Notamacropus eugenii: one gene and its partner. The protein of the gene in region 1 interacts with the protein of each later gene in a pairwise test. Links are inferred from orthologs where the notes say so. Each region holds a gene or a part of one and is shown in the gene's direction. Other genes may lie near its edges. The genes, in order: RABL6 and serine protease inhibitor Kazal-type 7-like.

The links.
Region 2: the proteins of RABL6 (region 1) and serine protease inhibitor Kazal-type 7-like interact in binary tests that used the Homo sapiens proteins (3 or more experiments, as listed by UniProt). The link is inferred for Notamacropus eugenii from reciprocal best matches to the Homo sapiens genes RABL6 and SPINK7.

The regions. Positions count from the first base shown.
Region 1 is NC_092872.1:492,640,963-492,651,720, forward strand, and holds the start of RABL6 (rab-like protein 6), read left to right. Parts: upstream 1-5,568; 5' UTR 5,569-5,984; coding exon 5,985-6,114; intron 6,115-10,758. Other genes in the region: CCDC183 (coiled-coil domain-containing protein 183), read left to right, coding at 813-929, 1,040-1,136, 1,988-2,109. UniProt on the Homo sapiens protein: May enhance cellular proliferation. May reduce growth inhibitory activity of CDKN2A.
Region 2 is NC_092872.1:410,444,413-410,455,674, reverse strand, and holds the start of serine protease inhibitor Kazal-type 7-like, read left to right. Parts: upstream 1-6,580; 5' UTR 6,581-6,654; coding exon 6,655-6,715; intron 6,716-8,271; coding exon 8,272-8,297; intron 8,298-9,507; coding exon 9,508-9,632; intron 9,633-11,224; coding exon 11,225-11,262. UniProt on the Homo sapiens protein: Probable serine protease inhibitor.

The DNA.
Region 1 (10,758 bases):
AATGGACACAGAGCCAAGAAGCCCTGGGTCCAAGGCTTTCTCTGGAACATGCCAGCTGCATGATTCTCAATAAGCCACTTTAGTGCTCCTAGGCAACTCTCAAGAAAAATAAGTTGTGATCAAGATGCTGACCTGTATCAGTAGAAAAAGTTCTTCCTTGGGAATTTTCTACACTGATAAAATTACAGGTCTAGTAATCAGAAGGGGGGGGCCCTGAAATCAGGAGGACCTGAGTTCAAATGTGACCTCAGACACTTACTGACTGTATGACCCTAGGCAAGTCACTTAACCTCGATTGCTTCCCTCTCCCCCCCAAAAAATGGAGTTTCAAAGTTGAGGGTGGGGTTGGGGAAATACCTTGAATCTAGTTCTGGTGAATAACCAGGACTCCTCTCATTTCTGCTATGATTTTATAGCTTTCAGTTATATGCCTTTTCAGCCTTTATCTTCCTAGGTTTAAAAGGCCTAATCTAATCTTTTGAATCAAGTCTCATCCAGCCACCCCTCCCTCTACTGTTTTCTGAAGCTTCTCCAGTTCAGTTCTGTCTTCCTTGATAGCTCCCCTTCTTCTGATGCTGTTAAGAGTTCAGTCCCCCAAAAACCTGTCCCCTAAACTCTACCTAGCTCCTAGTTTCTGAGGAAGTGGTACCTCCTACCTTCTACCTCGTCCTCCCCAGATGAGTATAAAAAGACCCTAAGACCCATCACCCAACATTCCCTCCAGTCTGAAATTCTGACCCTAAGGAAACTCCCTGCAGAAAGGGGCTCAAGGGAGGAAATTGAGAGGAAATGAGACATTTGTTTGTCTTCAGAAAGGAATGCCTGGTCCTGCTGATACCAAAGATGCCTACAGTAAACTACAATACTGTGAGAAGAAGCTACTCTATCTGATAGAAAGAACTAAGAACTATGTGGAGATATTTGAAGAGGTAAATGAGGGAGGGCAGAGGCAGAAAAGTTCTTCTATGTACCCCCTTTCCCGGCCTTTTACCCCTGCTTCTTTCCCCTGGGTCCATCTTATTACACCTCTGCTTTTTAGTACTCCCAGAAAGTGAGAGACTTCCTAGAGGAATCAACGCTAAGTGAAACACATAACGTGAAGATTACTTTTGAAGATGGTGATGATGATGGGAGAGGTGAGTTACAGTGGCTTAGGTGATAAAACTGTAGAAAAACCCATTCATCCTGATGTCTGAGGCTGCTGATCCTGCCTTCATCAAGTCCACCCTCCCACTCCCCCAACCTCACAGACAAACTTTAGGCAATGGGGATAAGAAGCAGGAATTAGAAGTTCTAGCTTTTAACTTAGGGAAAATCAGTAGCTAAGGTTTGTGATTGTCCCTGATGGGACTGGTGAAAGTCTGTAGAGTACTAGATACCCCATATAGCTCTTCAACTGAACATTCCCAGACATTCAGAGCTGCATTCCCAAAGTGGGGGGGGGGGGGAGGCTGGTAGTATATGGGGCAAGATAGAATTGGATTGGCACATCGTCCATCAGCTTTGCCTCACACATGATGGTGGACTATGTTCTGAGAACCTGGGCAACCTTTTCTTAGTCTCTGAATTATCAGAGATGAGTCTTTCTGCCACACTTCCACTCCAAACACACACCCTTAATCATCTAATTAAGAAATAACAATTTGCACTTGTATAGGGCATAAGGAAAAGGACTGGAACATGTGCTATGGGTATCTCAGAGGGATTTATTTAAATAACATGCAGCTTGGGTTTAGTTATGAGGTATTTCCTCCTTGATTTGCTACTTAACTGTAGATAATGGTAGGCTTAAGGCCTGGTGGGTAGGAAAGGGAGATGGGACATAGTGAATTTGGGAGTTACTAGTAAGTCATTCCCCTGAAATAAGAATGGTAGCCAAATCCTGTGACTCTCCACCCCCCTGGGAATGTAACAGTCCACAGATAGCCTCCTGGTCAGTGGGGTCCAGAAGCTCCTCCACTGTCCTCTTGCCTTATACTTTTTCCAGAATCCTTCCAGTTTCCTGATGTGGAACATAGCTACGTTCCTTCTCGGGACGAGATCAAGAAGCAAAGTGAAAATCTGATTGAAAGTAAACTCAGAAATATCAAGAAACCAAAGAAGAAATAATGGTTCCTTCTTTAGTCTTGATCCTTTCCTTAACCCCACAAGGCCCTGCATGTCCAACTTTCCAGCTCACAATGGACTGCCTCCTTTCATGCTCAGTTTATTACACAAATAAAATTTTTTCCAGAACTGAATATAGCACAAGCCATTCATGGCCATGCAACAGCTCCTTGGTAGGGGAAGATGGGACTTAAGTGGGATCATCACCATAGGAGAGTGAAGGTAGCAACCCCTAATACCTGCTGTCAGCTCCACTTAACAGAAAGGAAGGTTGAAAGCAGTACAGGAAAGCAAAAAGAGAGTTGGATGTGGGAATTGGGACACCTAGGATGTCTGTCTGGCTCTGCCACTAACTCATTTGTTATCAATCTGTCAAACATCATCTGCCTGGCCCTGTGCTAAATGCTAGAGACACACACAAAAAAAGCAAAAGACAGTCCTTGCCCTTGAGCTCACAGGCTAATGGGTGAGACGACATATAAGCAATTATGTACAGACAGGGTATGTATAGGATAAATTGGAGATAATCAACAGAGAGAAGGCATTACAGTTAAGGGGGATGAGGAGACATTGCTGTAGAAGATGAGATTTTTAGCTGAGGCTAGAAGGAAGCCAAGGCCACCAGGAAATGAAGGTAAGAAGGGAGAGCATTTCAGACATGGGAGGGAGCCTGCAAAAAATGCCCAGTGAGGAAATAGAGCACCCTGTGCAAGCTAAAGAAAGTCAGTATCAATGGATCATAGAGAATATAGAGGGGAATAAGGAATAAGAAGAACTAGGAATGTAGGATGGAGACATGGTACAAAGGGTTGCAGAAGTCAAGTACAAGATCTGGAGCTTTATCAGAATTTCTATTTGACAGGGAGCCATTGAATCTGTTGAGTGGAGTGAGTGGGGGTGGGGTAGGGATTCACATGGTCAAACCTGTGCTTTTCGATGATCATCTTGACAGGTGAGTAGAGGATGGACTGGAGTGGGTTGAGACTTGAGGCAACGAGTCCCACCGGAATGCTATTGTAGTCTCAGAGCAATATGATAGGGGCTCTCATCAAGGGTGGTGGCAGGGTCAGAGGAGAAAAGGGGGCATGCTAGGGAGCTTTTACAAAGGTAGAATCAACAGACTTGCAACTAACTGGGTTGAGAGGTAGGGGGAGTTTTGAGAGTGACCTTGGACAAGTGTCTCTGGGTCTTAATAGTTTCCTCCTTTATTATATATGAGGGTTATGTTACCTCTTGGAGTAAGAAAGCATTGAAATTAGACTGCTTGTGTTCAGGTCCCTGTTCTGCCACTTCTTATCAGAGACCTTAGCTAGTCACTTTAATGCCTACCTCATTACATTACTCCTGGACTATTGCAATAGCATCCAGCCTAATCTCCTTGACTCCCTAACTCAAGTCTCTCCCCACTGCTGTCCATCTTCTACTCAGCTGTCAAAGTCATCTTCCTAAAGCCCAGGTCTGACTCTGTTAACTTCTCCCCTCCCCTCACCCCCCAACCCCACCCTAACTCATAAACTCCAATAGCTCCCTATCAAATATAAAATTTGAGTCTTAGTTGTACTTTATAAGTGAGGATAACACATCTTGCAGTGGTCACATCCCCAAGATGAATGAGGAGAATACTTTATAAAGGGTAAAATATTGAAAGGAACCTATTCTCTTTTTTATTTTATTTTTAGTTTTCAACATTCACTTTCATAAGATTTTGAGTTCCACAATTTTTCCCCTTCTCTGCCACTGAACGCTATGGGATCTCCTCAATGAGATCAACAACTACTGAGAGAGAAATTACCCTACTAAATCAGGAAAATCTAAGTGGATAAAGAATGTGTATTGCCCAGATGACAATCTGGGTTTCGTAGTTGGTACCAAAACAAGTCTGTCCCCATAAGTAAATGTCCTCCCTGGGTAGAGAAGAATAGGCCTGTAAAATGAATGGGTAGCATTTAAGTGTCTTGGAGTCCCATAACTAAGTAAATGTCTGACAGGATTTGAACTTAGGTCTTCCTAACTCCAAGTGTAGTACACTATAGACTGTGCCAGCTGGCTGTCTGTCTTGGTGAACTCAAATTTGTCTTTTCTGAGCCGTTTATCAAAAAAGCTGCTCTATTTTTTGAAGCCTTGTTAGTCTGATGGCCAAACCTGGGAAAATGCTAGGTACAAAATTTCCCAGCTTCCACTGAAACAAATCAGATAAGTGGTGCTCCTCAAAATGTGCCTTCATGTGAGGAGGGGGCCTCTGATACCAGAAAAGGACATTTGGAATCAGATGACTTGAGTTTGAATTCGGACTCTGCCACTTACTGCCTGCTTTGGGCAAGTCACTTAAATTTTCTGAACCTTTTTTCCGTATCTCAACTTCTCAGGGTCCTTCCAATTCTAAATCTAAATCTAGAATTACACGTAGGCTTATAGATTTAGAGATCATCTCCCTTCTGTCTTTAAATCTATAAACCTATGAGATCATTTAATTCAAACATCCACTTCCCCCCAACCCCATTTCATAGATCAGCAGACTAAGGTCCAAAGAGCTTAAATGATTTGACTACCAGTTACATTGTAAATGAGTGAGTATAAGAGCTAATATTGGAAACCAGGTCATCTTGGTTCTAAATCCAACTTTCTTCCACTACACTATGCTGTGTCTGGTCACAGATAGGCAGCCTATTTAATTCATCCGTCCAGAACTATACGTTGAACAGACAATAACCTAGGACCACAACTGAATATAAGGGAGTGGGTGGATGGATGGTCCTCAGCAGAACATTCAGTGCTTTTAAAAATCCAAAACTGGTCACAACCGTGAAAGGCCATCTTATTAACACTTATTCTCCAGATGCAAATACAGCAACTCTTATATAATTAAACATCATGAAACACTATGGCCTCCTGGCACACTGTAACCTGGAGGTGAGAGATGGGGTCTTGGGGGTGCAGAGTGCAGCCTGCTCTAGATGTGCCTGGTTTAAACCCTGAGTATCTGCCATTATTACCTTCCAGGGAGACACCCATTGCTTCCCCTGCCCCCAACCCTTGGGTAAGTCATTTTAAATCTCTGCCTCAGTTTCCTCATCTGTAAAATGAAAAAAATAAAAGCACCCACCTCCCAGGGTTGTCACAAGGATCCAATGAGATGACATTTTGTACAGCCTTAAGGCCGATACCTAGCCATCATTATCATCAGTTTGAGGAGGAGGTGAGTGGGGTGTCTGGAGAAGCGGGGGTGTCTCTGGAAACAGTGGGTAGGTAGAGCGACTCCAGAGCAGAATTCAAATTTCACTCTGCCCCACCCCTTCTCTCCGCCCCGCCCCCGACAGCTCCGTAGGAGCGGCGAAGGGGGCGGGGACTTCGCGCCTTCCCGCACTAGCTCCGCCCCCACCGCCGTGTCCCCCACGGGCCCCCGTAGCTGAGGCGACGCTGAACGAGGCCCCCTTCTCAGCGCCCCCCTCCCCCTCCGCCCGAGCTGTCCCAAGATGGCGACGCAGGAGAGCGGCAGGTGGCGGTGCGGAAGGCCACGGAAGCTGTGCCACGTCCTGTGAGGGCACCTAGAGACCCGGCGTAAGGCCAGGGAGAAAGCCGAGGCGGGCTAGCCCGCGACCGTCTCGAGCCGAGCTGCGGAGAGCTAGAGTCCTGCCTGACCGCCTCGCCTCCTCCGCCCCCGGCCTTGAGGAGGGAGCCAGCTGGGGCTCTGCCCAGGGGGAGGGGGACGGGGAGAGGCCTCCCCTAGCCGCCCCTCAGCCTCGCCCTCCGTCCCCCTTCCCCGGGCATGGTCGCCCCCGCCCGGAGCTTGCCCCTCCCTGCCTGAGCCCGCCGGAGGGCCCTCTGGATCCTCCAGGACCGCTGTAGGGGGGAGGCGCGGAGCTGGGAAGGGCAAGAAGATGTTTTCCGCCCTCAAAAAGCTAGTGGGGTCGGACCAGGCTCCCGGCCGGGACAAGAACATCCCCGCGGGGCTGCAGTCCATGAACCAGGCGCTGCAGAGGAGGTTCGCCAAAGGAGTGCAGTACAACAGTAAGTGAGGCCGGGGGAGGGTCGCCCCGGAGCCCCTGCGCCCCCCACTACTCTCGTCAGCCTCGGGGGTCCCCGAGGCACTTGGCCGTCAGTGCTGAGACCCTGCCCCGGGAATTGGGTACCTCGTAGGGTCGGGAGCTAACGGGGACCCTCTGCTTCCCCTTCAGGGGGGAAACTGGGCATCCTGCCTTGGATCTTTTTGCCCCGTGGGAGGGGAGGGGCAGGAAGCTAGATTGGGGGTTTGGGGGTTAGGAATGCTAGACAGGATCGCACCAAGTCAATGCTGGAAGGATCATGGGACTTAGAGTTGGACCGGAAGGATAGATAGATGAGCTCATCCGGATCCCAGGTTTCCTAGGACTTGAAGCAGGAAGAACCCATTCGGTTCAAGTCTCCTGGGATTTAAACCAGTTCAGCTTCTCGACCGAAGGAGTATGCTGCAGGCTGAGGAGAAGATGACGTGACCTGCCCAAGGTCACACCCTCAGCGAGGGGGTGAAATCAGAACTGGAGCCCAGGACCTCCTCTACAAGGCCGACACGCTGTGACACTGGCCTCCTGGCTACTTCCTTGGACGAGACACTCGTCTCCAGATCCCAGGCATTTTTCACTGGCTGTCCCTCAGTGTAGAAAGCTTTCCCCTCTCATCCCTACCTCCTGGCTTCCTTCAAGTCCCAGATAAAATCCCAATTATTTCTCTTAATTCTAGTGACTTCCTTCTGTTGATTATTTCCAATTTACATTGTACATAGTTTGCACAGTTACTTGTATGTTGTCTTCCCATTGGTTTATGATTTGTATCCCCAAGGTTTAGCCAGGTTGCTGGCAGCGCTTAATGAATGTTTGTTGAGTGACTGATTACGGAGTTTTAGGAGTCCTAGCAGATTTAATTTCTTTCTCCTAGGCTCCCCCCCCCCCCACACACACACACACCCCTGCCTTTTTTGAAACTCACTTAAGGCCCTGAAGTAAGGAAAAGGAGAAATTCAGTTTAATTCAACAAGCATTTATTAAGCACCCACTTAAGCCAGGCACTATAGTGTGTGCTGGGAATACAGAAAATAAGGGTTAGCCTTCATTGGTAATATTCTTCAGGATGAGTTTCAAACGATGGTGCTAAGTTTAAAGAAAAGTAAAGTAGTGGTCAGACTGAATTAGTTCTGGCTTTTGGGCCCATTCATTGTTCTGTGCCTGTCACTGCTCCCCTACCCCCAGATTTCTGAGAATTTGATATTTATAGATAATGTGACCAGATTCAATTTTTCTTTTGTTTTTTAAGTATTAGTCTTAAAATATTATTTTTGAGATGATCTGACATACTATCACAAATATAAGTAACCAGGACCAAGAATAACAGCTATTACTGATATGATGTATTAAAAACTAAAGTGTTGCCCTTTTTCTCAAAAAAAAAAGTATAGTAGCAATTTTTATTGGACTACTCATTTATATGACTATCCATTGAATGCCCAAGGCGGCATAGTAACAGTGGAAAATTGCAGGATTTGGAGTCAGAGGGCATGGCTTCACACTCCTGCCCTTACTGTTAATTACCTTTTGTGTACTTGCACAAGAAATTTCATCTCCCAGTGCCTCATCTTTAAAGTGAGGAGGTTAAATTACATGAGTACCTTACAGTTCAAAATCCGTATTCTCTGTGTGTCATAGGTGCTAAGGAAGTTTGCAAGATACAGGTGAGGTATAGCTCTTTCCCTCCAGGAACTTTGAGTCTTTCTAGTCTTATTTTTATTTAAACTTGATTGTATGGTCATGCTAGGGGATTCTGTGCTGTACAATTGTATGATTATCACCAGATTGAAATTATACAAACCAGATGTGCCTCTCAGAGTAATCATTTTCTTTGGAAAGGTGGATGAGAATACAGAAGTTGTGAAGTCCGCAGTATATGAGCACTGACTCTATTCTTGCTGCCCTTACATATCCTAAATAGTGTTGGATAGAACATAGCTCATTATGTGCGTTCTGCATGTGATATATTGATGAAAAGGCCATGGCAGCAGTTTTGCTAAGCGCCTTAAGCTCACCAAAACTTTTTATGGGATTTTTGATACAATATTATGGATAGCATTGGCTATATTTTGCCTGAGAAATTACTATGTAATTTGAAAAAGTAGCCTCTTGTTCTGTCACTCTGACGGTGAACTTAATTCTAGAATTCTTCCCAGAGAGTAGACTAACTTATAATGAATGTGATTTTAAATTAATGCACCATCTTATATAATAATTTATAGTATTATTGAGTCATGTGCATGTTCTTTGTAGTCTTAACTTTCAAGTGTGGATTTTGAAAAAAATAATTTTGACAAAATTTTAAGATCATAGATAGAAAGGACCTCAGTGGAATTAGAGGACAACCTTCTCATTTTACAGAATGAGCAAACAGGCCCAAGGAGGTGAGATGACTTGCTCAAGGTCTCAAAGGTTGTGCATCAGAATTTGAACCCAGGGCCTCTGACTGTGGTGCCTTTCATTCTTCCTTTAATTTTTTTATGTTGTTGTTTTTAAGAAGCAATTCTGTGGGGCTATGTTTAGTGAAACTCCAGAAAACAGGGATACTGTTACTGTTTATAATCTGTTACACATTGTGAACGAAATGATCATTTGAAGACAATAAAGTGAGAATTTAAGATTTTCATCATACTCAAATAATATAAATTAACTCCACGGCTCCTAGGCATTGTTCTGTCCTCAGGTAAATTTTCTCATTTGACATTTGATTTTGCTATATTGCAAATCAAGACAACAAACATTGGCAACATTTCAAAACTTTTATGTTGTATTTTGACAGTGTTTCTTTTCATTCCACTTTTAGTAAAAAAAATTTTTGGAAGGGGGTTCCTAGGCCTGTTTCAAACAAAGCTTTCAGTTTTCATAATAATTTGCCTTGGTGGTAGGATAGAATATTTAGAAGATGAACAGAAAAGCTTTGTCAAATTTAAAAACAAAGTTCAATCTGGCCATATTGTAGCTGTAATTTATTTTCATTTGTTTCTCTCACTAAATGTTCAGATTCATCAAGGTAGAGGAATGAAGTCAAATAACTACCTTAGCAAATAGTTCGTATAAGTTAGTGGGATCTGTGTTTAAGCCCCTGATTTTCCTTTAAGCTGTAACCAACCATTAATATGACACTGTGTTTTAAAAAATATTTTTAAATGACTCTTTAATCTCTTGGAAATTTGGAGCATCATTCTTGAATCTGTTCCCTCTCAGAAATGTGTGTTTTTCCGTGGAGGTCGCCCACTGATTCTGAGTGGGCTGAGAACTACGAATTTACTTGTTAAGGAGAAAAAGAGGAAGAATATCTGTTACTTCATGAGGTCTCAAAACTTACAGACACCTTAGAAATCATCTGGTTCAGTTGCTACCTGATAGGAGTTTTGGTAGAATGATAAGTGGAAAGCTAGACTAACGGATGGGTTAAGAGAGTGGGAAGAGAGAAAGTGAGGCAGCTTTTATTGACATTTTTTTGTAGTTTAGGGTTCTGTCCTGGGCCCTCTTCTCTTCTCTCTCTATACTACTTCACTTGGGTGAGCTCATCTCCTTCCCATGAATTTAATTACTATCTCTATGCTGATGGTTTTCAGATCTACTCTGCACAAAACTGTTGACCTCTGATCTTACACCTCCTCCTGCCTTTAAGACATGTAAGCCCAGATGTCTGAATTTTATATGTCGGAAGCTGTATTTGAAATCAGGTCTCATCCACTTCACCACCTAGCTGCCTCACTAGAGATCAGGAAAAACTTAGGAGGTATAGTATATAGTACCTCAGTTGAGTCTTGAAGAAATCTGAGGGTTCAGAAAAGCTTGGATCAGAGTAAATTTCAGGTATAGAGGAAGGTAATATCTGTAAAGTTAAAGGAATAAAGGTTTCTTCAGGATCTAAACCCTTTGTTTGTTCTGGTCTACCAATTTATACCTGATCTGAGCCAGGTGGATGATCTGTTCTCATTAAGAAATATCTTATCTCATATAGAGAATAATAGGTTGAAATGTATTGTTTATATATTTTTTCAAACCTGCTGGCAAACCAAATATATCCTGGTGGTAATTGTATTTAGGTTTTAATAACCTTTTCCTATTTCTCTTATTGCTGATCTTATCACAGGTTTTCTTCCCAAAACTGAATTTTTGCATGTAACTCTTCTCCACCTGACATGTACTAGTATTTGGCTTCATTTTTTAGTTTGAGATGTACTATTTTACTATTAAGAAAAAAATGAATATCAATTGCCTGATCCAAGATTTGGAATAAGTTAGTATTACCTCTTTTATGAAATCTCTGCCTATCCTTGCAGCCACCCCTTCTATTTCTTGTAATCAGAAACATCACCCACATTGGTTTGCTGAGGTCTTAATATAGCACAGTATCAGTTATCGAATTGATACTGATTTGCTTAAAAAGGCCTTTTTTTAATGAATTGTTTTATTTCCTTTCTCACCTCACCTTGGCTGAACATATAAAATGACAGCACTTAAAAACAGACCTTCCAGCAATCACCAGAACTTTTGTTCTCAACTAGATCTCACAGTCTAGTGGTCAAGTATATGTTAAAAAAGGTCCCAAAGTAAAAAGGAAACTTCATTAGTACTCAGAGTAGAGAATTTGCTTATCATGGAA
Region 2 (11,262 bases), about 82 Mb from region 1:
GAGATAGAGGAATTAGACTTGTTCTGTTGTCTCTGAAAGGCAGAATTGGGACCAATGGTTAGAAATTTCTAAGAGGCAGAATTTTGTACTTTCCTCAGGAATTTCCCCCCAAATATAGTCAATTTACAATAAAATAGGCTACCTTATGAAGCATTGAACTCCTTGTGAATGCAAATATTTATGAAAAGTCAGGAACACTACTTCTTGGCTGTGTAATACAAGGGACACTCACCTTGGTCGGAGGACAGAAATATATAATTGTTGAGGTCTCTTCCAAGCCTGTGTCCATGATTCATTTGCTTTCTGTCTCATTTTATCAATTAGAGGGATTTTCTTTTCCACTGATAAGGGAGGTTCTTGATATTTTAAAAATGGAAGAATGTCCTGACCAGGGTCATCAAATAAAATGTGAATACTTTACACTGTTTACTTCCATGACATTTTTGTTTCTCAAACTCAGGTGGCCACTCACTTCTTTGCAGTCCTTCTGAGAATAAATTATTTTTCCCTTTAAGAGAACATAACTCTAAAGTAATAAAATTAACTTGATCTTGGAAACTAGGTTGGCAGAATGGGGAAGATCTTAGAAAACATCTCATTAATCCTATTATTTCATAGCAAAGAAATAGGAGCAAAGTAATGGTGCAACTTTCTAAAGGTCAAAAATTCACAGAAGAACTAATGCTAGAAGAATATAGGCCTCCTAGAGGCAGTTTGGCAGAGGAATCAATGGATGACCTCATGAAGCCTTCTTAGCTTTAAATTTGTGATCCTATCATCCTCTGTGTTCTAAATACATATTATAAGGGAGAACTTTCTAAATATTAGAGAATTGCAACAATGAACTTCATGACAATAAAGAAAGCCCCAAGTCATTGGAGGTTTTCAAGTAGAGATTGGATAATCACTTGCCAGAGATGTGAAAGAGAGGATTTGTGCTTCAGGTAGGGGTTGAACTAGATAACAGTATAAGAATAATCAGAACAATCATAGAATCATATGCTTAGAACTGGATGGAACCTAATCTCATTTTACAGATGAGAAAACTGAGGCCCACTGTTATTAAATGATGTTCCCAGAGTGACACAACTACTAAATGTCTGAGGGCAGAATCTGAACGAGTCTTTTGAACTGAAGGTCATGCTCTCTACCCACTATAGCATGCTGCCACATTTAATGGGAGTTACATTTCACAACATATTTCCCTTACAACAACACTGTGAAGCAAGCTATGATTAATATATTGTTCCTCTGGTGAAAATAATGTAGTAAACAACTTCAGGGGAATAAAAGGGGTTTTCTCAAGGTCACTTGGCCTGTAAATGGAAGAGCTGGGACTTCAATACAGAAGAGCTAACATTTTCAGAAAGAAGTCATTCTGACAAGGCAAATTCTAACTTCCCTGAAGAAAGTATTGACTGAGATAAACAACTGCAGAATTAAGAGATACCTGTTAGAACATGCCCTATTGAATGGACATCAGGATTTTCATAGTCTACATTAGGCTGAAATTAGAAACCAGCTGGAAATACCAAATAATGTCTATTACAGAGCATAAAAGTTCAGGTCTTGCCACTCAGAACCCATATAGGCTAGTTTCTAGAAAGGCAGGACCAGAAAGTTCCACTAGCCTGAGAATTCAGAGACATGGAATATAACCCTCTCTCAACTACAAAGTTATGGCATAATCACTACAAATCATTTTCTCTCTCCAAGTATCAATTTCTTCCTCTGTAAAGACAAAGCTTTAGCCTACTTCCAAAATATTTTTAAGGGTGAGGTCCTGGGTGTGCAGTGTCAGACATGTTCATGCAGCATAGTGAAAGGTGATGTAATGTTGGCAGGAAAAGCAATTTGCAAATTCATAAACCTATCCTGAATAAATTTATATGACATTTCTCACTGAAATACCTTTATAGCATGCAGTTGCCTTGAGCTATTTATTTTCCTTATGAGTATTTCAGATATGTCAATAATAATGATGCTAAATTCCATATGTCAGGGCTCTATTATTGCATCAGCTTGAGTATGGTCTCTACCAAAAGTCTCATTGATTCTACCCAGACCCATTGACATCTTAGAAGACCACCCTTATCCAATCCAATATCCAATCCAATTCATTTTACTAAGTATTTATTAAGCATGCAATCTATGTCAGGCATTCTGTTAGGCACTGATGGTACAAATACAAAAACTATCCCAGATGGAAGGAATTTACATTCCCATTAGGGTATGACACTCAGAACTAAACACAGCATTCTAGATGTGGTCTGATGAAGACAGAGGATAGCAGGACTATCATGCCTCTGCCCCCTTTCTGTATCCTTTACGTCTATTAATGTAGGCTGAGAACCTGATAAGTTTTTTGGTTTCCATGCCACACTATTATCTCATAATGAACTTATAGTCCAATGAAATTACCATATTTTTCACATAAACAGCTTCATCATATTTCCCCTAACCTCTAGTTGAGCAGGTGATCTTTAGAAATTAAATGCAGGATTTGCATCAATGCCAATAAAGACTCACCCATTACTCTTATTTGGTGAGGTTGGAGAAGGAGATTTGACACTATTATTCATTTAATATCTATCTTCTTCTCCACCAGCATCTGTAGATTTAATATCATCATTTTTACCTGGATCCAAGGCATTAATTATAATGTTGAACATGATTAAAGATAATTCCATAGAGTTACCTTTTTTGAGACCTCTTTCTGGGTTTAAGATGATCTATTAATGACTGAATTCCTTTAGTCCAATCATTTAAGCCAGTATAATCCTCATATCTACAGTCCATCCATGAAGATAGCATGAGACATATTAACTTTGTTAATGCTCTGCTAAATTCCAAGTACTATGACTATGGCATCCTCTTTATCTTCCAATCTAATATTCCCATCAAAAAAAGAAGAAAAGGTACATGAAATTTTAAAATGCAAATTAAAATATTTCTAAGGTTTTACCTCATAACTATCAAATGGCTGAAGATAACCAAAAATAAAAGTCAATGCTGGAGAGATTGTTTGATGAAGCTGTGAATAGTCTAACTTTTCTTGATAACAGTTTGAAGTTATGCAAAAAAAGTGAGTAAACGACTTCAAACCCTTTGAGTCACCAATCCTATGACTAAGCACATCTTCCAAGGAACTGAAAGATAGAAACAAAAAAGCCAATGTATACCAAAATAATCTTAGTGGTATGTTTTATGATAGCAAAGCACTGTAGACAAAATAAGCGCCCATCAGGTGGAGAATGACTAAAAAAAATGTCATGTGAATGAATGTACAGCAACATCATTGTGCAGTAACAAATGACCAAGATAAGGAATGTAGATAAACATGGGAACATCTGTATGAACTGATCCAGAGGAAAAGGAGCAAAAACCAGAAGATCAATGTGTACATTGATAACAACAATGTAAATTTAAAGATCACTAAAAGGAAATCAAACTGAATAATTGGAAAAACCTGCAATGATCCCAGGGGGAAATAATGAAACTCTTTTCTGTCCACTTTTAGGAGAATGTAGGAACTAAAACCCAAACATTGTGGACATTTCCAAGGGTACAACTGTATCAGTTGTTCTTACTTAATTGTTTTTCTTTTGTTACAAAAAAAGGTTTAATTCTAGGCTGTCAGGTAGTAAAGAGGGTGATACTCAGATATGTTCCTGAAATGGAACTAATCTGGGACAATCTGTCTTGATTATGAGGGATCATCCTCTCTCTCTCAATTCACCACCCCCTTAATATGTCCTAGAGCTTTCCCAATCAACATCAAGCTCGTTGGACTATAATTTAAAGACTTCATTCATAAATACTGGGACAACATTTGTCCAGACTTAGTCTTGTAGCATCTTTCCCATTCTCCACAATTTTACAATCACCTCTGGAAGTTTAGCAATCAATTCTGTCAGCGCCTTCAGGATCTTAAGGATGTAGTTATTGTGAGGATAAAATGGCAATACACATTTAAGGTATTTTGTAAACCTTAAAGCACTATGCAAATAAATATTACTGCTATTTGTTGGTTTTTCTGAGACTGCTCTTTCTTGTAGTACGTTAAAGGGTTGGCTCTGTAGTCAGAAAGATCTGGGTTCAAATTTGGATTCAGGTGATTCCTAGCAGTGTGATCCTGAGCAAATCATTTAACTTCCATTTCCTCAGTTTCCTTATCTGTAAAATCAGGATAATAATAACATCTACTTCCCAGGGTTATTGTGAAGATCAAATGAAAGCTCAAAAGAGCTTAGTACAGTGCCTGCCACATAATATGCACTATATAAATATATTATTATTATCATCTTCTCCTCCCCATCCACCTGTTTCTCCTTGATATCTTTTGCTGGATCATCATTCATATTCCATCCCCTAATTAGAAGCAGCTAGGTGACACAGTGGATAGAGAGTAGCGGACCTAGAGTCCAGAAGACTTGGGTTGAAATCCAACCTCAGACACTTCTCAGCTGTCATTTAACCTCTCTCTGTCTTAGTTTCCTCACAGTAAAATGAAGATCGTACTTCCCAAGTACCTCCCAGGGTTGCTGTGAGGATCAAATGAGATGATATTTATAAAGCTCCTAGAATGGTGCCTAGCACAAGTAGATGTTTAATAAGTGCCTGCTCCCTTTCAGTTCCCTCTAAATCCAGACAGCTCCTTTTTGTCCTCCTTATTCATATTATTTCTCTTTAAATCTTCAGAACTCATTTTTAAGAGCTTCCCATGCCTCCTAATATGACCTTCTCTGTAAGTATACCCCAAAACTCTTTGGAATCAACTCTTTCGAAATTCAGGGCACATGTCAATCTTTACCTAGCTTTTCTCTCTTCTAGCACAAAATCGAAGACAGAAAGGTCATTTTCCCATAAGTTTCCCAACATCTCTACTTCTGTCTCTAGTTCTTCCTAGTTGGTAAGAATCAGATGCAGACTAGCAATTCCCTTAGTTATTTCCTCTACCTTTTGAAAGATGAACTTATTACTATAAAGCAAATCCTGGAAAAGGTAACTACTCTACTTCTTATATAAATATTGCTCTAGCAAATATCAAGATATTGAAATTTCCTGTCGCTAATATATCCTAACTCTGCACCAAGCTTATGATTACTTTCCCAAACTTTTCATATTTCCACTTTCTGATTAGTCCAGGAGGACTATATCCTGCTGGCAGTCTGGTGGAGCCTTTGCATGCTTTCTCAGAAAAATACTTTTAAATAAGCAAATGAAAGCTAGATTTTGGTTAGAATGTAAAGATGTCATTTTTCTGCATCCAAGTTCGCAGACAACCTGATACCTGCCCATAATCCAGAGAACCCAGGTTGCCATTGCTCTGGTAGTTCTTACAGCCAACCTTCCAGGACAAAAGCAAAGTGTTGGTGGGAATCCTGAACTATAGTAGTAGGTGCCTCTCTTCTTTACTTTATGAATACCTTTTCAGGTATATCTAATTTCCCTCCTCTTGTCTCAACTATGTCATTCTTCCATTCCAGTTTTTCTCCTTGATTGCTTCTTGTCTTTCTCCTTGAGTCCTTCTCCTCTTTCTGCTCAAGTCCTCATGCTGCACTTACTAAATCTTCTCCTGTAGAAGGGACAAGCAAGAGTACAATATTCCTATTCTAGGTGAACTTTGCACAAGTTTGCAGATGATAGGTCAAAATCATTTCGGAGCAAGCTAACTTCTCCTATGCTCACTGAAGCTGACCCTTGCCTATATAATATGTTCCCTAGAAAAGCAGTGTGATGTACTAGAAAGTGCCCTGGACAGAAGAGTTGAGTGGAATCCAGGTTCTGTCACTTCCTAGTTGTGAGACTATGGGGAGTCACTGAATATCTATGAACCTCTCCTCCTCTATTAAAAGGGGATAATGGTATTCTCTTCCTCCTTCCTAGATATAGTGAGGAACATTTATCATTAGCACTAGAAGGAACCAATGTTGTTTACACTTTTCATTTCATCGATGAAGAAATTGAAGCCATGGTCACACAATTAGTAATTCTGATAGCTGGCATCTCAGATCCAAGTCTCTATTCATATGTTCAGTGCTTTAATGCTAAAAGGCATTAAAAATGTCATTATTACTAATGTACCATAAATTAAAATTTGCTGTGGATATCAAGTCAATTTCAGAGTCAGGAAGACTTGGCTAGAAGTCTTCCCTCTAATACCTACTGACTGCGTGACTCTGAGTAAGTCACCTAATCTCTGAAGACTCCAGCCCATTCTCTGAATTTAAGCGCAAAGTAGTTATTGGTCTGCCTTGGTAGAGGGAGGAAGTTTCACTGGAGAACTATGAGAGAACTCATTGGAATTTCCTATTTCAACAAAATCAAAAGTTCCAAATGAAAAAAAGAACTGTGAAATCATAAGTATTACATGACATGATCTTCACTTCCAGAAGCATCAATGGATTATTTGTTACATCAAATAAAGTTAATAATCCAGTTGTCTGACTGGTTGAACTTAACAATTAGTTGGCAAGTGTTACTCCACCCAGGGTGTACCAACAGCTTGTGAATACTGTCTCTATAAGATTACAATATATAGGTGGGGGACACCTCTGCGGTCATATAAAAGTCATCCCACTCTTGGGGACTAATCCACTACTCTCTGTGGAAGAGTCCCTTGCCAGTGATTCCAACTCTCCCAATAAGACCATGAAGATCAATGGGGGCTTTCTACTGCTGTTTGCCCTGGCTCATCTCTGCCTAGCCTCTCGTAAGTAAAATAGAATTTCTTCTCAGAAAGTGTCCTAACCCTGGGATTTCCCCAACTTGTCTCAACAGGATGAGTTTTCCTGACAGGGACAAAATGGAGTACTGGTCTGAAAATTAGGAAATTTGATTTCAGGGCTTTGTAATTTCCTTTCAGTGACGTTGTCTCCCAGACAGTAAAATGAAGATAATAATACTTGTCCTGCTTCCCTCATGGTGCTATTTTGAGGATCAGATGAAGTAATATATGGGATGTGATAATAAAGGCTTACATAGAACCATGCATTACTGCTATTCCTAGAATTAACTGGCTATATTGATTTAGACATACAATATGACACTGTGGAGAAAATTCTTGCCTACAAGTCAACAGACCTGAGTTCTGAAAAGTTGGAACTCTGTCACTGATTTACTCAGTGACCTTGAACTTCTCTGGGTCCTAGTTTTTATATATGTAGAAAGAACATGTTCTAAGGTTCTCTCCAGCTCTAAAGTTCCAACTCATCTATTAAGTGAAGTTAGATTAATAAACTCTAAGATTCCCACTAGGTCAAATGACCTGGGTTTTTATTTCTAGCTAGGCAATTAGGTGGTACAGTGGATAGCTTGCTGGGCCTGGATTAAAGAAGACCTGAGTTCAAATCTGGCATCAGACTCACATAGTACTGTGTGACTCTGGGCAAGTCACCCAAACTATGCTTGCCTCAGTTTCTTCAACTACAAAATGAGGATAATAACAGTGGAGCATTTACATCACAGGGTTATTTTGAGGATCAAATGAGATAATATTTGTAAAACGCTTATTACAGTGCCTGACATATAGTTGGTGCTAAATAATTGCTTATCCCCTTCTCCTCTTCCCCTTAAAGTTTTCAAAGTGCTTTTCTAAATTATTTGTAAGGTAAATAGTGAATGTAGTTCCATTTTATAGATGAATAAAAGAGGTTTAGAGGTCAAATAATCAAGTGTCTTACCCATTTACCTAGAGGCAGATAGGTAATGCAATAGACAGAGCCCTGGAACAGGAGTCAGAAAGACATGAGTTTAAGTCCAGCCTCAGATACTTACTAACTGAATGTCTCTAGCCAAGTCATTTAACTTCAGTCTGCCTCAATTTCTTCAACTATAAAATGGAGAAAATAATAGCACCCAAACTCCAGGGTTGCTGCAAGGATTAAATGAGATAATATTTTCAAAGTACTTAATACAATGTCTAGTATATAATATATAGTTAATAAATGCTTGTTTCCTTCCATCCTTCCAATGCCACAGAACTAGTAAGTATGAAAACTCAGTGCCTAGCTCAGGTCTCTTTATTCCAAGTCAAGTGTTCTTCCCATGACATTTATGTGGATAGATAACAGAGAAAAGAAGAAGTTTGCTGACTGACTGAGATTGAACAAGAGTGGTCCAGGATACCAGCCTCACACTAAATTGTAGACCAACAATGATAGTTCAGAAGTAAAGAATTTTCACAGCCTAAACCCAGCCTTGGTCACTGAGTTGAGGGAGGAGTACAGTGATGAGTCACCTGAACTTCTATCTCTATTTCTATTTCAGGACTTCCTGTACAGAATTTAGGGAAGGTAAGCAGATTGTTTTCATTTCCTTCTTATTTTTATTGCCATCCATCCATTAGGAAAGAATTCAATGAGCGTAGAACCCTATGTTACATTATGGAGATCAAAAAGATCAAGAGTGGCCTCATTTTGGTAGACTTGGAGTCAGAGGATTTGGGTTTGAGTTCTAGGTCCATCATTAGCTGTGTGACTTGTCATTCTCAGAAACTTGGTTTTCTCATCTATAAAATGAGAACGACAGTCTCACAAAGCCATTTTATAGAAAGTTCTCTGTAAAATACGAGTTATTACATGCAGTGATTTCTCATTGAAAGAGCAACTACCCTTGAGACTAGGAGATCTATGCTCAAATTTTGGTTCTAATACCTATTAGCTATGTGACTGAGAGCAAGTAGCTTCTACTCCTTGGAAATTTAGTTTCCTCACTTGTAGAATGTCAAGATAGGATTTGATTGCAAGGGTCACTTCTAGGTGTATGGACAGGAGAGATGAAAAGTGGAGCTGGAAGTAGGGAAGTAACTTTCCTACCTCACCATCCCTATAGAAAATTCCTTGAAGAGTGAAACCCTCTCCTAATTACATAAATGACCTATGGAATACTAGGAAATCTGGTGAATAGATAGATGAGGATTTTCTAGAATACACTGTTCTTGAAAAAGCAAGAGCTAGAGGCTCAACTTCTGCCTTGTCTGTGGTCCACCTCTCCTCAGAAAGAGAAGGGTAAAATGGATTCATAAAATATCAAAGGACATAAAAAGTCCAACCTAGAAGGGACATTATAACATAAAACTTTAGACTTGTCATGAGCCTGAGAAACAAAACATGAAATATCTAACCTGGAACAGTCTTTATAACTAAGAGTGTTATTTATTCAAAGTGGAATGGATCTTGGGAGATTAGAAGTGAGAGGGTAGAAAGTAAGACAGAATAATAGAGTTGAAAAGGATCTCAGCAATTACCTAATCTAAACCATTCATTTTATATAGCTAAAAAAACCTGTTCCCTAAAAAAGGAAGTAATTAAACTGAGAGCTTCCAGTAAGTTGAGGATAGAGTCAAAATTTGAAAGCAGATTTCTAGACTTTAGGCCAGGATTCTTTTCCCTGAACCATAGTGACTTGCCTATCTTATAAGCTCATGAGGTCAAGAATTTTAAGTGCTCTCTCTGTCTCTCTCTCTCCCCTCCTCCTTCTCCTTCTCTTCATCCTCCTTGCTAGGAGGACTGTGGGATTTATAAGAAGTACCCAGTGTCAGCTATTCCCTGCCCTGTTACATATTTCCCCGTGTGTGGTTCTGACTACACAACTTACGGAAATGGATGCCATCTTTGCATAGAGAATTTGTAAGTATGGAAAGGGGATAAAGGAATGGCAGGGCGAGGGTTACTGCTTTATACATTCATAGCACTTCCTTTTCTGATTCAATTACCAGACTAACCTCTCATGAAAATGAGGCAGACATAAATACATTAGATAAATTCTTTCATGAAAGACTTGTAGATAAGCTGGAGATCTGTAGGTGGCATGAGAATACAATTTGATAGGTTCAGAACTACCTGAATTAAAGGCCTCCAGAGTGATGGATAGATATCCAAACAGAAGATCTCTAGGGAAGGGCCTTCTAGCTTTCTCCTTCATCTTGCAGTTTTCAACATATTTATCAGTGATTTAGCTAAGAGCAAAAATTACTACCTACAAAAATTTGCAAGTGACACACAGCTTAAAAGAATGGTTAACATATTCAACAAAGTTCAGATACAAAAGATCTCAAAAAGGGGTTAAATCTAATATGATGCCATTTTTAAAATATATACAGTCCTGCCCTCAGGTTCAAGAAATCACCTGTACAAATATAAGAAAGAGAAGGCATAAATGACTGTTAAGTAGTTTGTGTGGGAAAAACCTGGGAATCGTACTGGACTATAAGCTCAGCATGATTCAACAGTATGACACAAGGGGAAAGAAGACAGAAACAAAATAATTGTCCTTCTATGCAGAAGAGGAATTACTTTTTCTGCTTGATCCCAGAGGGCCACATAAGTATATGTATGAATGTATGTACATATATATGCATTTATATGTTGTATAAACAGACATATATATTACACACATATATACATATTCACACACACACACACACACACACACACACACACATATATATATATATATATATATATATATATATATATATATATATATATATATATATATATATATGTATACATACTCTTATACTCATTGTTTCTAGTTCTGCCCTCTAGGACCAAGCAGAAACAGTAATTCTTTTTCTGCACAGAGGACAACTATTTTATTTCTTCTTTTCTGCTGTACACATGTGTATATATATATATATATATATATATATATATATATATATATATATATATATATATATATATATATATGTGTGTGTGTGTGTGTGTGTGTGTGTGTGTGCGTGTGTGTGTCTATACGTATATAGACATATTATTATATATTACATATATATAATATATATAACTCTATAGACATTCATTATATATGTATATTATATATACATACACATACACACACTAACAATAAAGTTATTTTAAAATTGAATGGAATCTTGGGGGATAGCACTTTCCTCCTTAGTGGAAGTATTCAAGCAAAAAATTGATGACCAGTTCCCAAAGATTCTGATTCAGGTATAGGTTGCTCTGGATGACTTCTGAGACCCCTTCTGATTCTGATATCATGATTCTATGAGTAGTCCCTAATCTAGGAGTCGAAAGACTTGGTTTCTAGTTCTAGCCTTGCCACTTTGTAACTTTATACAGATCCCTTAGTATATATGGAACTGAGTTTCTCTCTAAGGTAGTTTGTACTAAGGGGCTACACTAAGTTGACCACTGCTCCCGATATTATGTGAATCTGTAACTCATAACGTTTATTACTCTTTCTCTGCCCTTAGGAAAACAAATGGAAAAGTGTCTTATCTTCATGATGGAA